Rattus norvegicus: one gene and its partners. The protein of the gene in region 1 interacts with the protein of each later gene in a pairwise test. Links are inferred from orthologs where the notes say so. Each region holds a gene or a part of one and is shown in the gene's direction. Other genes may lie near its edges. The genes, in order: Nup58, Pknox1, Mis18a and Htt.

What was found.
Region 2: the proteins of Nup58 (region 1) and Pknox1 interact in binary tests that used the Homo sapiens proteins (3 or more experiments, as listed by UniProt). The link is inferred for Rattus norvegicus from reciprocal best matches to the Homo sapiens genes NUP58 and PKNOX1.
Region 3: the proteins of Nup58 (region 1) and Mis18a interact in binary tests that used the Homo sapiens proteins (3 or more experiments, as listed by UniProt). The link is inferred for Rattus norvegicus from reciprocal best matches to the Homo sapiens genes NUP58 and MIS18A.
Region 4: the proteins of Nup58 (region 1) and Htt interact in binary tests that used the Homo sapiens proteins (3 or more experiments, as listed by UniProt). The link is inferred for Rattus norvegicus from reciprocal best matches to the Homo sapiens genes NUP58 and HTT.

What each region holds. Positions count from the first base shown.
Region 1 is NC_086033.1:38,576,637-38,580,202, reverse strand, and holds part of Nup58 (nucleoporin p58/p45), read left to right. Parts: intron 1-352; coding exon 353-495; intron 496-2,684; coding exon 2,685-2,834; intron 2,835-3,566. UniProt on the Homo sapiens protein: Component of the nuclear pore complex, a complex required for the trafficking across the nuclear membrane.
Region 2 is NC_086038.1:9,684,635-9,688,200, forward strand, and holds part of Pknox1 (homeobox protein PKNOX1), read left to right. Parts: intron 1-1,253; coding exon 1,254-1,381; intron 1,382-3,292; coding exon 3,293-3,464; intron 3,465-3,566. UniProt on the Homo sapiens protein: Activates transcription in the presence of PBX1A and HOXA1.
Region 3 is NC_086029.1:43,464,333-43,468,481, reverse strand, and holds the start of Mis18a (protein Mis18-alpha), read left to right. Parts: upstream 1-1,324; 5' UTR 1,325-1,347; coding exon 1,348-1,654; intron 1,655-4,149. UniProt on the Homo sapiens protein: Required for recruitment of CENPA to centromeres and normal chromosome segregation during mitosis.
Region 4 is NC_086032.1:80,073,261-80,076,682, reverse strand, and holds part of Htt (huntingtin), read left to right. Parts: coding exon 1-61; intron 62-933; coding exon 934-1,096; intron 1,097-1,280; coding exon 1,281-1,441; intron 1,442-2,354; coding exon 2,355-2,568; 3' UTR 2,569-3,422.

The sequences.
Region 1 (3,566 bases):
ACAGTGCTCTCAAGCCGCACTTTGCTTTTTAAATTTTGAGGGGTGGTCTGGGTAAGGTTCCCAGACTGTCCTTGAGTGTGCTGTGTAGCCCACACAGGCCGAGAAGGTGGGATTGCTTTGTCTCCCAAATAGCTCACAGGTTCAGTATTGTATTATTTAAGATAAACTTTACATTTGGTTTTGTTCTTAACGAGAAAAGGACGGTGTTTGAATTTGTTAGGCGTATTTCTTTTAATGTCTTTTGCATCATAGATTTTATGAGAGAAAACAATTTTAAGCAGTTAATTTTTTATTTTTCCAAAGTATATATTAGCCATAGCAGACTTTGTTTTGTTTTGTTTCAATAAACAAGCACACCTTCTGTGGGGCTCAACTTCGGAACTCTCGGAAGCTCTGCGACACCAGCATCTACATCTACTTCTGCCAGTGGTTTTGGAACAGGACTCTTTGGATCTAAGCCTGGCACTGGATTCACTCTAGGAGGAACAAGTGCAGGTAAGGAGGATGGTCTTGTCCTCAGGGTAAATGAGATATTTCTTTCCCGGTTTCCGTCCTCTGTCTTTATTTAAGAACCATCACTGGAATTGGATGTTTGTGTGGGAGAGGGAGCAGCTCCAGAGAAGCATCAGAAAGTCGTAAGCATGAATCAAGATGATTTTTGTAAATTATATATAATATAGTATTTTTTTCTTTAGTAAAGATGCTTAAGGCAGTTTACCAATTTGTTTTACATTTTGATATTAAAATAGAAAAAAGTGTAGTTCTTGAAAGTCTCTGAGTGGTAGATAGTACCTTCCAGCTTTAGTACTGTGTGCTTCAAGTCTTTCCTTATTCACCTTTTATTCTCTAGGGAAAACGCTTGTATTTGTTGCTATAATACATATATCAGTCTTATTATAAGTATCATTCTCTGAAGGTGGAATCTAGAAGGAAACCATCTTTATTTTTTTTTATTTATTTATTTTTTGGAGCTGAGGACCGAACCCAGGGCCTTGCGCTTGCTAGGCAAGCGCTCTACCACTGAGCTAAATCCCCAACCCCGGAAACCATCTTTATTGATCATTCAGTTTGTCTTTTTGTGTCTGGGAATAGCAGCTACAACCATACAATTAATTCTGGGTAAGAAGTTTTGAGAAGAGCAAACTCTGCCTTTCTAATGACTTGTGGGTTTTCTCCTCTTGAACTATTTCAGAGTAGGAAAAAGAAGAATAATTGTAAAGAACTTGTATGGAGCCCATATAATTGTTTTTCAAAAACCTTTCAGTGTTTGGTTATATAAAACCTGAATGCTTCAATGTTATGCCTGTGTAAGTTATAGATGTATTTTAAACATAGGTAGTTTTGGATGTGGATCCAAAAGTTTCACTAGTTGCCTTAAGAGAAAAAATCAGCAGCAAGGATTAAACCTCACAAACACGAAGGCAAGTGCTCTTCCGCTGAGAGGTATGCTCCCCACCCCATGATTCTGTGATGTTATAGATAACTAAAAGTTTCGCTTCAAGGTATGACAGGGCTGTTAACATCTTACAGAGACAACCAGGGCTTGATTTAAGACTGTCACACAGTCTCTTTTCCACTAAAGCATCACATACCTAAAATGCAATGAACATAAATCCACATCTAAAACCACCTATGTGGTCTCACAATGTTTTTGAGGATGCTAGTAATCTAGCAATATTTTTGAAATAAAATTAATAATAAGATTTTGAACTAAAGCAATGCAAAGGAAGGAAAAAGTATCAGGGATTCTGCCTTGAGTGATTGACTTGGCTGAAGTGAGTGTGTGCAGGCTTTTGTGTTGTGGTCAGATACATGACTCAAAGGGACATCAAGGTCTACCAGCCAGTGGGATTCAGGTAGGCAGAGATTTAGGCTCACAGTGGGTGTGGTGGTGCACGCCTGCTCTTTCAGTGCTAGGGAGGCTAACACAGTAGGAGTGCTCTGCCTACTTAGCAAGACACTGCCTCAGTAAACCAAAGAAGCTGGTGGCAGCTAGGGTTAGATTCCTGTACCTGTTGATGAAACTGGAGCCATCAGTGGTGGAAGCAGCAAGAGAACTCTGGGAGCAGTGCAGGAAGGAGATGCACAGGCAAGGCCTGGAAAGGAGGAGTGGGGAGAGAACGTGGTGCTGATAGGGATGGAGTCCAGGAGAGGGGGTTTCCAGGAGTACAGTCTGGGTGGGACAGGAGGGGCTGTTTTTCTGTTGACAGCAAAGGGAGTACAGGGAATAAGTGCTATTGTAGCCATTGTAGGCAAGCTAGGGAAGGAACTGAAATTGATTACAGTTTTAGAGTGGTTGTTTTTACATTTCTTTTTCTTTGTGGTTCCCCCCACTTTCTGAAACAGGGTCTCACTGTGTCACCCTGTCTGTCCTGGAACTTAGTATATACATATCAATATACCAAATTGATTTAGAATTCACAGAAATTGCCTGACTCTGCTTCCTGAGTGTTGGGATCAAAGGCTTGAGCCACCACACCCATCTTGCATTTCTTTCTTAACCCAAAGTTTTTGTATTCACCATGATTTAGTCCCAACTGGTGTATCTCTATCCTATTTCTTATGGTAGAGAAAAGGATCACAGACATAAAATACTGTCTAAAGTCAACATATCATTTATATGATTAAGATAAAAATGAGATTTTGTTTGTTTGTTTGTTTGTTTGTTTGTTTGTTTGAAACAGGAACAACAGCTACTACATCTGCATCTACAACAGGCTTTAGTTTAGGATTCAGTAAACCTGCAGCATCTGCCACACCATTTGCCCTGCCCGTCACTTCTACCACAGCTAGTGGTCTTACTCTCTCGTCTGCTCTGACATCAGCTCCAGCAGGTGAGACAGAATGGGAAAAAAACTGAATTTGTTGGTTATATTAAATTTTTTTTTCAGTTAGAAAATAGCAGTAGCCATTTAAATTAAACATCTCTGGACTGGGGAGATGGTTAAGTGAGTAAATTGTTTTACTGTACAAGCATAAAAAATTTTTAAAGGACAACTATACCTTGGGACATTTATTTGAATAGTTAATTGATTTTGTCCTATTGAATTCTTGACTTTTTAGAGTCAGGCTTAGTGGTCCACACCTATGATTTGCGAGGGAGAACAGGAGAATCTTGAGTTCAAGGCAAGGCTTGTCTATGTGACAAGACTATCTGGAAAAAATAAGTTAGCATTGGCTATTAAAGCTGTTATGACTTGAAATGTGGTCTCTACTAAGAGTAACATGTCAGAGGAGTTGGGGATTTAGCTCAGTGGTAGAGCGCTTGGCGCAAGGCCCTGGGTTCGGTCCCCAGCTCCGGAAAAAAGAAAAAAAAAAAAAAAAAGAATAACAAGTCAGAGGAGTGAAGTGTAGAGATGTTTTTATCTTGTTTTTAAGAGACTGTTGATGGCAGAAAGTGTAAAGACATTTATAAACTTACCTAGTTCATGATTCATTTACTTTTAAAGGTAGAATTGTTGGCTGGGATTAAAAATTATACTGTTGTTTAGAATTAGTTGCTGGGTACCATTGCAATAGTTCCCAAGGGAGGAGGGGATTTTGTTGGATGAGGGGGAAATGGGAGA
Region 2 (3,566 bases), on another chromosome or scaffold:
ACCTTTAAAGGATTGTCTGTTAGGCTTTCATTACATATTTATTCATTTAATTTTCTGAGATTCTGAGATGGCATCTCACTGCATAGCCCTGGCTTGCCTGGAGTTCACTGTGTAGACCAGAGTGGCCTTACCCCCCCCCCCCCCCCCCCAGTGCTGGGATTAAAGGTTGGCCACCTTGCCTGGCTCCTGGCTTTGTTATTATGTGTGAGCCTGTGTGAGTGAGCTTATGTGTTCCATACCTGTGGAGGAGTCCTCAGAGGCCAGAAGAAGGTACTGGGTCCCCTAGAACTGGAGTTCACAGGTGCTTGGAGTTCTGTGGGTGCCAGGAACCAAAACCAGGTTCTCTGGAAGAATAGCTAGAGAGCGCTCTTAATTCTCTAGCCCCAGGTTGCCTTGTTTTTTGAAAGGAAAAACAAAAAAGAATTCTCCAAGTAATTCTAAAGATGGCGACAGAATGGATGTCCTTCTGGGCTGCCGGAAAGCATTGGGGGCAGCGTTGGGGGTGGGGCCCCTGGCTAGTGTGGAGACAGGGTGGCCTCTTCCTAAGATAAGTCTATCTGAGAGGCAGAGACATAGCTTGTGTAACACAGAGAACATGTTACAACCCTAGTAAACACACCTGGTCTCTTCACTGTCTGGATAAGCTGCCCTTTGTTTAAAGCTGTGTGTCGCGGCTCACTGGTTAGGAGCTCATCCCGTTCTTGCAGAGGGCTGGAGTTCGCTTCCTACAACCACGTGGTATGGTTTACGACCATCTATAACACCACTTGTGCGTGCACACAGACATACACACACTGTCTTATGCAAAACCGTGTATACGAGAGTGTGTGCTGGGGTCAGATTAGGAAGGAAGTTGCACACGAGCTACATGCCCAGCCCTTGTTCATATTTGCATAATGGCGCAGGGTTACACGTGGGAGAACCTGAACCCTGTCACAGAACTGTAGTGTTGCGTTTGAGGTTTTTGTGAGTGAATATAAGAAGAGCAGACCTTCTGTTCTCCCTCTCCCCAAGTTACTCATTGGGAGAGTGGCTAGAAGAGTCAGCTTACACTGTGTCCCTGTCAGCCACGCACAGGGCTTGGAAGCCATCACACTTCCTCATACATTTGCCCTTCATACTGTCTGCTCTTGGAGCATACGAGAGTCAAAGGTTTGCCGCTAGTGTTGTTCATGTTATGGGCAGTTATCTGATCTTCTGACAGGATAGCAGCACTGTACATGTCTTCTGTAACAGAACTTCTCCTTTTCCAGATGCAGGTGGTCACTGAGTTGAAAACAGAGCAGGATCCCAACTGCTCTGACCCGGATGCAGAAGGAGTGAGTCCTCCTCCCATCGAGTCTCAGACCCCGATGGATGCCGACAAGCAGGCCATTTATAGGTAGTGACTGGGTGTGGACTAGAGAGAATACAGTGTGAGGTGGAACTCAGGGCTGGGATCTACACTGAGCCCTTTGCGGATTGCGATGGCTCTTATAATAACGCACGAGTAGTAATAGAGACCTAAACTCAGGTAACCTTCCAGGAAGTCTTCAGAACAAGCATGGTGGTGCACACTTAGACTCTCAGCACGGGGATAGACAGTTCAAAGCCAGTTGCAGGCCAGTCTGGACTACCTAACAAAACCCTAAAAGGGAAAGAGGAGGCCTAGAGAATGGGTCAGCAAGGAAAGTCTTACCATGTAAATGAGATGACCTGAGTTTGAGTCCTAGAACCCACAGAGGGTGAGGAAAATGCCATAGATTTGTCCTCTGACCTCTACATGCAGTTCTGGAAACTGTCATTTTGCTCTCTTGACCTTATACCCAGGTATCTCCTGAGTGAGGACTCACTTCAGTTAAGTAATATCTTTTCTTGACTGGCTTCCTTCACATCAAATGGTTTATGTGAGGACTGTAATATAGAGCCTGCTGGGACTTTCTTCCTCTTTGAGGCTGTATCCTGTTTATACACCACGTTTATCCTTCAGCAGATACTGGGCACTTGGGGTTGGGTTGCCTCGTCCTTTTTAAGATGGGATCTCTCTGTAGTCCTAGCCTGCCCTGGAACTCACTATATAGGTAAAGCTGGCCTTGAACTCACAACGATCCACCTGCCTCTACCACCCAAGTGTTCTACACACCCGGCTGTGCGTCCTCCCTTTGACTGTAGTGTCCTGTGAACACAGGTCTGTAGATGCACAGCTAGCTGTACACGGGGTGTTAGAAGCTTCACTCATGATCCTCAGACTAGAAACAGCCTGGATGTTTCTCGACAGTGGTGGGCCCATGGAAAGGAAGGTATATGGCTGCAACACGTGTTCACAGGAACCCCAGCTATCTTAAGCCCTTCTCAGAAGCCTTGCATTTTGTATAATTGCTTTTCCATGACACCAAGAGAAAACTTGACGATGGTGACCTCTGCTGGAACTAGGGCTTCCAGCATGGCACACGGAAGGGAGAACAAGAAAGGCTGGGTGTCCTAGAGCTGCTCTGTGTCCTGTTTACAGTGGTGACTAGACACACTTGTAAGGGTCTAAGAACCGAGAATGGTCCATTTTATTGTTGGATAGTTCACACATACAAATTGAAATCAGGCATGGTAGTCCATGCTATAGCCCAGGCCTCAGAAGGCTGGCCTGAGAGGAGCAGGAATCAAGGCCCGTCTGGACTATGTAATAAGACCCTGTCAAATAGCAAACAAATAACAAGGAAAAGTTAATGAAATGATTAGGAATTTTGAAAAGATATTTTCATATAGTGTAAAGCTAACTCATTAAAAATATTTCATGAGGGGTTGGGGATTTAGCTCAGTGGTAGAGCGCTTGCCTAGGAAGCGCAAGGCCCTGGGTTCGGTCCCCAGCTCCGAAAAAAAGAACCAAAAAAAAAAAAATTTCATGAAACAGTTCTACTCAGAGTAGCCATACTCTGACTACTAAACGAATTAAAAAACAAGTGATGGATGGGTTGAGAGAGATGGCTCAGTGGGGAAGAGCACAGATTGTTCTTCCAGAGGACCTGAGGGATCTGGCGCCCTCTTCTGGCCTCCATGGGCACCAGGTGTGCATGCACATAGCATAAAATTGTAAAAGAATATACAGAAACAAGTAACAGGCTGTTTAAACATCATTCATACAGGCCAGACAATGCACATCTGTAACTTCAGGGACTTGAGGCTGAGGCAGGAGAGCCTCAAGTTAGAAGCCTGACTGAAAAACAGATCCCTGTGACAGTGTGGGCAGAGGCCCATTGGTGCACACATCCCAGAGTGTTCCTGGAGGGATGTGGCACACCCTTGCTCTGTTTCCCCACAGGCACCCGCTATTTCCATTGCTAGCTTTGCTGTTTGAGAAATGTGAGCAGTCCACACAGGGATCAGAAGGCACGACGTCCGCCAGCTTCGATGTGGACATTGAGAACTTTGTCAGGAAGCAAGAAAAGGACGGGAAGCCCTTCTTCTGTGAAGATCCGGAAACAGACAACTTAGTGAGTAAAGTTGGTGTTTTGTTTCTACTTTTTGTGATTTAAATCTGTTCTTGAAGTTTACCTTCCTGGTCTCCTGGTTTCTAGCTAATTTTCCCTTTAACA
Region 3 (4,149 bases), on another chromosome or scaffold:
AGGATAAAGGACTTCTGTACAGGGATATACCACTACAGAATTTTAAGCATTGACCATAGAATCCCAAAGTCTGAGCCAAACAACTGCCCACTGAATTCCAAAGATATTATGCAACGTGCACAACTCACATAGGCTGCATTGTGCATGGGACACAGGCAGCACCTTCAAAAGCAGTAGAGAGAAAACAACTCTATGGGTAGACAAATCCTAAATTATTTGATGCATTTTCTCCTACTTGGAAGCTAATTAATGCCGTTATGGTATCCTCACACACATCCCATTGCTCAGTTAATAGTCCAGGAGGTTACTGACCATTTAATCCTGTGAAGAATCAAGACTCAAGGCTGGCTTGTAATCCTAGCACGTGGGAGGCTGATGCAGGAGGATCGCCGTGGGTGGACAGCTTGGACAAAAATGAATCAAAAGAAACAAAAAGTTAAAAATCACACTTAGAGAAGGCAAAGTCGCCTTTCCAGTTTCCGGCCCTTTACTACCTTGGTCAGTCAACTCGAAGGTTTAGGATTCGAAACTTTTTACTAGGGGCCTGAGATACGAAAACAGGTGGTTGCGTATGCTGAAGTTTAACGAAGCGAACTGCGAAGTGTGACTTGGAGGAAAATACGGTGGTCTTTGCGTGTTGTTTCTTACTTCTGCATCCAGGCTGTCCCTGGTGGCGTCCCTCGGCTCTCCGCCAGCCTTCCCTTTAGCCTGTGGTCTTCTGAAGTCACAGGTTGACTTTCTGATGACTGACCGTCCTTCCCGCCCCTACTGTACTCTGACCCAGACAGAGTGAGTGACACTCGCCCACTTTGTAACCACAGTAATGCTGTCCCCTCCAGCTTCTCGTACTTTTCCCTTGCAGTGCAAGCCTGCGTAATGCTGGGTCTTTGAGGCAGGGGGTGTCTTTGGCTCGCCATCGATCCCTGATTTTTCTGGATCTAGGAAAGTGGGTCTCCGGGAGCAGACAGACTAGAATCAGGGATGTGGCTAGCAATACACCACTTGGAATTCCATGGAGGTGGGCCTGCTTACCAGATCTGCTTACCTAGCACCGGCATGTCCATTAATAATGTGGAAGGACTAGGTGAGCGGTTGCTTGTTTAATTCGAAGCCCTTAACTTTCTCAACGGCGGCGGAAGGACCTCCAACAAGCTAATTCACCTGCCTTTGCTTAGGAAGACGCCAGGACGCAGGCGCAATGAGCTAGGCTCGCTCCAGCCAGATAGTGAGCATGCGCCTTAGGCCCTACTTCGGGCCTCACCCTCCTCGGCGGTGCCCGCCTCTTGCTCCTTGCGCATGCGCAGCTGTGCTATTTCCCGTGAGGCTCCGGGGCGCGGCAAATTCGTCATGGCTGGTACATTTTCTCTGGAACCCTGCTCTACCTCTAGTTCGTGTAACCACCAGGGCAAGCGGAGCGAGTCTTCGCTGCTGGAGAAGCGGCTGTCGGAAGATTCGAGCCGCCATTGGCGGCTGCAGAAGTGGGCGAGCATGTCGAGCGCAGACGCGTCGAGGACACTGCTGGAGAGGCGTGAGGAGAAGGCTGCCGCGGCGGAGAACCCGCTGGTGTTCCTGTGTACGCGCTGTCGCCGGCCGCTGGGCGACTCGCTCACCTGGGTGGCTAGCCAGGAGGACACCAACTGCATCCTGTTGCGCAGTCAGTTTGGGCCGGGGCCGTGGGACCGCCTTCCCGCGTGAGGGTGCTGCGGGAGGGGTGGGGTGGGGGTGAGCTGTCCCAGCAAACCGTGGCGAGGGCATTCCTGTGGGTGGCTCACGAGTAACAGGGCTTTTTCTGGGGTCTTCCATCCCTAGAAGGGGAGCGGTTGAGCATCATCCTGAACGTTATTCAGAAAGAAATATCCAAGCGTTTTTAGCAAGGTGCTTCCTTCAGGGGAGTGTTTTCACATCTAACGGATTCTGTCAGCTGCTTTGGGTACTTTGTAGGCCGCCGCTGCTGGACTTAGTTTAGTGCCCTTGGGCAATCTGTTCAAAGGCTTTTGCCTCAGTCTCCAAATTGAGGGCTAATACATGGGATAACGGGGACGATAAGTGTATGTATGGTATATGGCCACAGGATTAGGCGATTTCTTTACTGGATGAGCTTCTTGATAGAGTTTAGTTTGACTCAAGCATTGCCACCATTAATTAGGGTAGCCTAAAATTGGGTTGAGATTTTTGACATAGTAGTTTTTTAATGGCTTTAAAAGAAATAACGTGTCTTTAATTTTTAATCCCCCGTTTTTGTAGCTTTTCTATCTTGCTTTCTGTGTGTATTAATACTGTTGTTAGGTTTTAAAAATTTAACCTGTGTGGATTAGATAATTCTATTTATCCTCATGTTAGTACTTTTTACTGAGTCTTTTAAACAGTAGGAGCAAAAAGATAATTCCATTCACTGGAATTATCCCTTTGCACCTATTAAACAATGCAGAAGGGTGTAAAAGCTTTTTTTTTTTTTTTTTTTTTGGTTCTTTTTTTCGGAGCTGGGGACCGAACCCAGGGCCTTGCGCTTCCTAGGCAAGCGCTCTACCACTGAGCTAAATCCCCAACCCCGTAAAAGCTTTTTAAAAAAATGACCTTCCAGATTAATTTCTTTTCCCTCTTGCCCCAGTTGGAGTGTTTTATTTACCTTCGTTCACATTTATGACATTTACAATTTTTAATTAATTTTTTTCTGTTTTATAATGGGGCTCTTACTGTTTCCAAGGATGACTTTGAACTAATGATCTAACCTCAGCTTTCTAAGTAGTGCGGATTACAGATGTGCACCCCTATATCTCACTCAACACTTAACACTTTATTTATAGCCACAACATGGTGATTTAGCTTTACTTATTTTAAGATTTATTTATTAAGTATTTATTATTATATATCCAGTATTCTGCCTGCATGTGTGCCTGCACACCAGATCTTGTTACAGATGATTATGAGCCATGCTGTGGTTGCTGGGAATTAAACTCAGGACTTCTGAAAGAGCAGCCAGTGCTCTTAACCTCTGAGCCATCTCTCCAGCCTTTATAATGTTCTATAAATTAATTTCCGAACCCCACTAGTTTTGTTAACATATTAAAAAAATTAGGGGTTAGAGAGATGACTTAGTGGTAAAGAGCCCTTGCAAAGGGCCAGGGTTCAGTTCCCAGCCCTGCATGGTGGTTTACAACCGTAGGTTACTGCAATACAGGGCGTCTGCTGCCACAGGCACCACCCCGTGCACTTGGTGCACACATGCATACAGACAAAACACTCAGAAATGAATAAAATTTTACAGTTTATAATTTCCCATTCTTGAGTTGTTTAATTATCACAAGTGTCCCCAAGGAAATGTCAAGTTTGGGTGCTGGAAAATGTCTTTTTGTTACCTTTATATGCAAATGCTGAGTGTCCCCCACCCCGGTGGGGGGATGTTCAGGTAGTAAAAAGGGTTCCAGGTCAATGTGGCCAAAGTGTGGATAAAGACAAACCTTAGAAAGGGACCAGGGAATGAAGGGACTTTAGGCTATGGTGAAACAATGGGGGTCTACTGCTGAGCGAGGAGTGACAGGATTCAGCTCTTCTGGAACAAGCACAGAGGAAGACTAGCACCACTGTAGCTGTGTCACCACAGCAACTCTCCAGGGCTTGCTCTCACCATACCCAGAGCCGAAAGAACCAAACTCATAGGATACATCCCAGCTTCTCCTTTGAGAAACCACATTTTTATGGGCATGGGGCTTGCTTAGCTAAGGCACCGCGGAAGACGGTGAAGTCAGGAGTTTGCCCTGGCTGTCCCACTCTCTGACAGTGCTTCTTCATTTCCCTCTGGAATGTTTGGTACCGTGTTCCTGGTCCAGCTGCGATGTGTCCAAACACAGGATGTCAGACTGGGACCCTTTACTTGTAGAGAAAGGAGCTCTGTTGGAATCTGGAGGCGCATTGGTGACCTCCCTCGTCCGACTTGCTCTTGGGCCCACTTGCACTCTCTCTGGCAACTTTTGGTTGTAGTTTACAGTTTGTGATACTCACAGGCCAAGCCCTACCACTGCTCTTCCCTGGGTAACATTGTTCATTTATTAATCCCACTGGTTTTCAGAGAAGGACGTGAAATAACTCTTGTCCCACCTCTTCTCCCTGAAGGCCCCTGTCCCGTTAGTGTTGGACCACATGCACCCCATT
Region 4 (3,422 bases), on another chromosome or scaffold:
CTACCCCTGACAGCGAGTCTGTGATTGTAGCTATGGAGCGAGTGTCTGTGCTCTTTGACAGGTAAGAAATGCAGCAACACCTGACCTTTATCCTCAGTAGTCATTGACTGCCCTGGAGCCACAGCCAGAGCAGTTCCTTCCACGTGTATTTGTTCATTCTCTTGAACTTTAAATTGCATCTTTGCAGCCGTTTTCCCAATGCATGCATATTCAGAGTACCACCTGCAAGCCAGACTCAGGGACAACTGGACCCATGCAGGGGTACAACCAAGCCACTGCCCTGGGGGATCCCACAGGCAGGGATGAGGAAATAGATACTCCCGGAGTGTAGCCAAGTGCTATGGTGGGGCTCAGCCCATATCCACTGGAAGGAGACACGGTTGAGTGTCAGAGTCACTTGTGTACTTCTTGGCCGTATACCACGGTGGTGTGGCATTAGTCACAGGTCAGCTGTCTTTAAGGATGCTGCTAAAGGTGGAAGTGTTGGATGTTGAGACAAGAGTCAGTAGGAGCGTCAATGGGAGTCTGTGTTTGAAGGGAAGAAAAGCTCCTGATTGACAATAGCACCCTGGATATTAGGACATGCAACAGTGACGCTTTAGAGCCTTTTGATGTGGAGTCTCTTCTGTAATGTCACTACCTACCTGTTGCTGCTGCTCCCTGACAGGGCCTTCCCACAACTGCATTATTCTCCCCAGAGTGGGAAAGATCACCCTGTGCCCAGATTAGTCAGGGCAGCAAAAGGACAGCCTGGATGTCGTCTTTGGCTTTTAAAACTCATACCCCAGTTGTGATCTGAGCCCCACTTAGAACATCCCTGTGGGTCATGGGTCATGGGTCAGGGGCCTCTGAGCCTTGGTCCATGTTGGCTCTATGGGCAGGGTTGAGAGGCTAAGAACCAGGTGAGGCTCAGATCAGTTCCTCTCATTTCAGGATCCGCAAGGGATTTCCCTGTGAAGCCAGGGTCGTGGCAAGGATCCTGCCTCAGTTTCTAGATGACTTCTTTCCACCTCAAGATGTCATGAACAAAGTCATTGGAGAGTTCCTGTCCAACCAGCAGCCATACCCACAGTTCATGGCCACTGTAGTATACAAGGTGAGAGTGTACTTGCATTGTGGAGCAAGGACAGAGCAGGAGGATGAAGGGGGACTCAGTCCCACACTTATGGTAGGCCTGTCATCACGGCTAGACTCATCCTTTAAGATGGGTGGCAGCTGTGGTCCCAGTCCCCACCCAACCCCACAGCCTGACCCTGTGCTCAGGGCTCTCTCCTCCCCAGGTTTTTCAGACTCTGCACAGTGCTGGGCAGTCATCCATGGTCCGGGACTGGGTTATGCTGTCTCTGTCCAACTTCACACAAAGAACTCCAGTTGCCATGGCCATGTGGAGCCTCTCCTGCTTCCTTGTCAGTGCATCTACCAGCCCATGGGTTTCTGCAATGTATCCTTCCATGGGGCTTTGGCCAGGTTTCAGTCTCCACCAGCCTTTCCTTATTCTCTTAGCATCCAGTTCAGGTTCCACTGAGTGTTTTGAAGCCTAAACTCTAAAGAACCCCACAGGTATCAAGGGGATGCTTACCCTCCCCTAAAACACTGATGGGGACATGAAACAGAAGGTCTAGCCATTTGCCAGCCAGGGCTGCCAACGGGTGGGTTTGTGGCAGGAGTACTACTGCTGAGGGAGAAGAGAGGAGCCCAAAGGGAGGCAGGGCAGCTCAGGCCGCTGCTGGCCCTGCGGCTGCCCCAGCGTCTGGCATGCTTTATCCCTCTGAGGTTTTCTCAATGCTGCTTTTCATTAGCTCTCATCTTTACACTGCGGTCACCCTCCTGGGGAAAGCCGTAAGTAAAGCTGCAGTTCCCGCCCTAACAGTGATGCCAGGAGTTCCTCTTTTGGCAGCCTTCTCCACAGTAGAACAGGAGTTACTGAGCAGCAAAGTTGTCTTGGTGGTGACAGTACAGCCTCACCCTAAGTACTGGGAAAGCCTTGCAGGCAGGGTGCTAGCTCTGCCCTCCCTGCACTGGAGCAGTGTGAGCGGAACACCAGCCACTAACACTGTGTGGGGAGCACAGCCCAGGTAAGTGCTGTTGCGCAGAGCACTGGGAACCAGCACCCTGTCTGCACTGCAGGGCTCCCACTTCCTGGGCCTCTGGGCCCCTGGGCCTACCCATCCCTACTCTCCTGGGCAGACAGCAAGCTGTAGCTGGCAGAGGATTACAAGCAGGTGCTGTGCTAATGTGGTCTAGGCTGCCCTCTATTTTGGTTGCCCAGTCTTCCTGGTGGACTTAGGGAGGGAACCGCTTGGGGAGGCTGTCTTCCCACCCTTGCCATCATTCCCCCTTAACTGTTCTACCAGCCTTCCACACGTCATCAGCAGGATGGGCAAACTGGAGCAGGTGGATGTGAACCTTTTCTGCCTGGTTGCCACAGACTTCTACAGACACCAGATAGAGGAGGAATTCGACCGCAGGGCTTTCCAGTCTGTGTTTGAGGTGGTGGCAGCACCAGGAAGTCCATACCACAGGCTGCTTGCTTGTTTGCAAAATGTTCACAAGGTCACCGCCTGCTGAGTAGTACCTGTGGAACAAGAGGCTGAGAGGAGGCAACTGCTGTGGCTACAGCCTCCAGGGGCCTGCACCAAGCTTCTGCTAAGGCTGCCTTGGACGTGCAGGCTTCCACTTGTGTCAAGTGGACAGCCAGGCAATGGCAGGAGTGCTTTGCAATGAGAGCTATGCAGGGAACATGCACTATGTTGGGGTTGAGCCTGAGTCCTGGGTCCTGGCATCACTGCAGCTGGTGGCAGTGCTAGGTTGACCAGGTGTTTGTCTTTTTCTTAGTGTTGCCCTGGCCATAGTTGCCAGGTTGCAGCTGCCCTGGTATGTGGAACAGAATCCGAGCTCTTGTAAGATGGTTCTGAGCCCCCCTGTCCCACTGGGCTGGAGAGCTCCCTCCCACATTTACCCAGCAGGTGTACCTGCCACACCAGTGTCTGGACACAAAGTGAATGGTGTGGGGGCTGGGAACTGGGACTGCCAGGTGTCCAGCATCATTTTCCCTTTCTCTGTTTTCTTCTCAGGAGTTAAAATTTAATTATATCAGTAAAGAGATTAATTTTAATGTAACTCTTCCTATGCCCGTGTAAAGTGTGTGACTTGGCAAGGCCTGTGCTGCATGTGACAAAGTTTATGGAAGTGGATGCGCCTTCTGGCCACCACTCTCTCTCCTGTAGCTACTCAGTCTAGTCGGGCAGGTCCCTCATGTAGCCCTCCCAACACCCTATGGCACTTGCACTTCACACGGCTCCTTTTTCTTATGCATTCCATTTGACTAGCACAGAGTGGTGTTGGTGTTAACTGCCCTATGTGAGAATCCTGCTTGTGGCCCAGCTTATGAGACTGACTTCCACTTAGGATTAAGAGAGGCT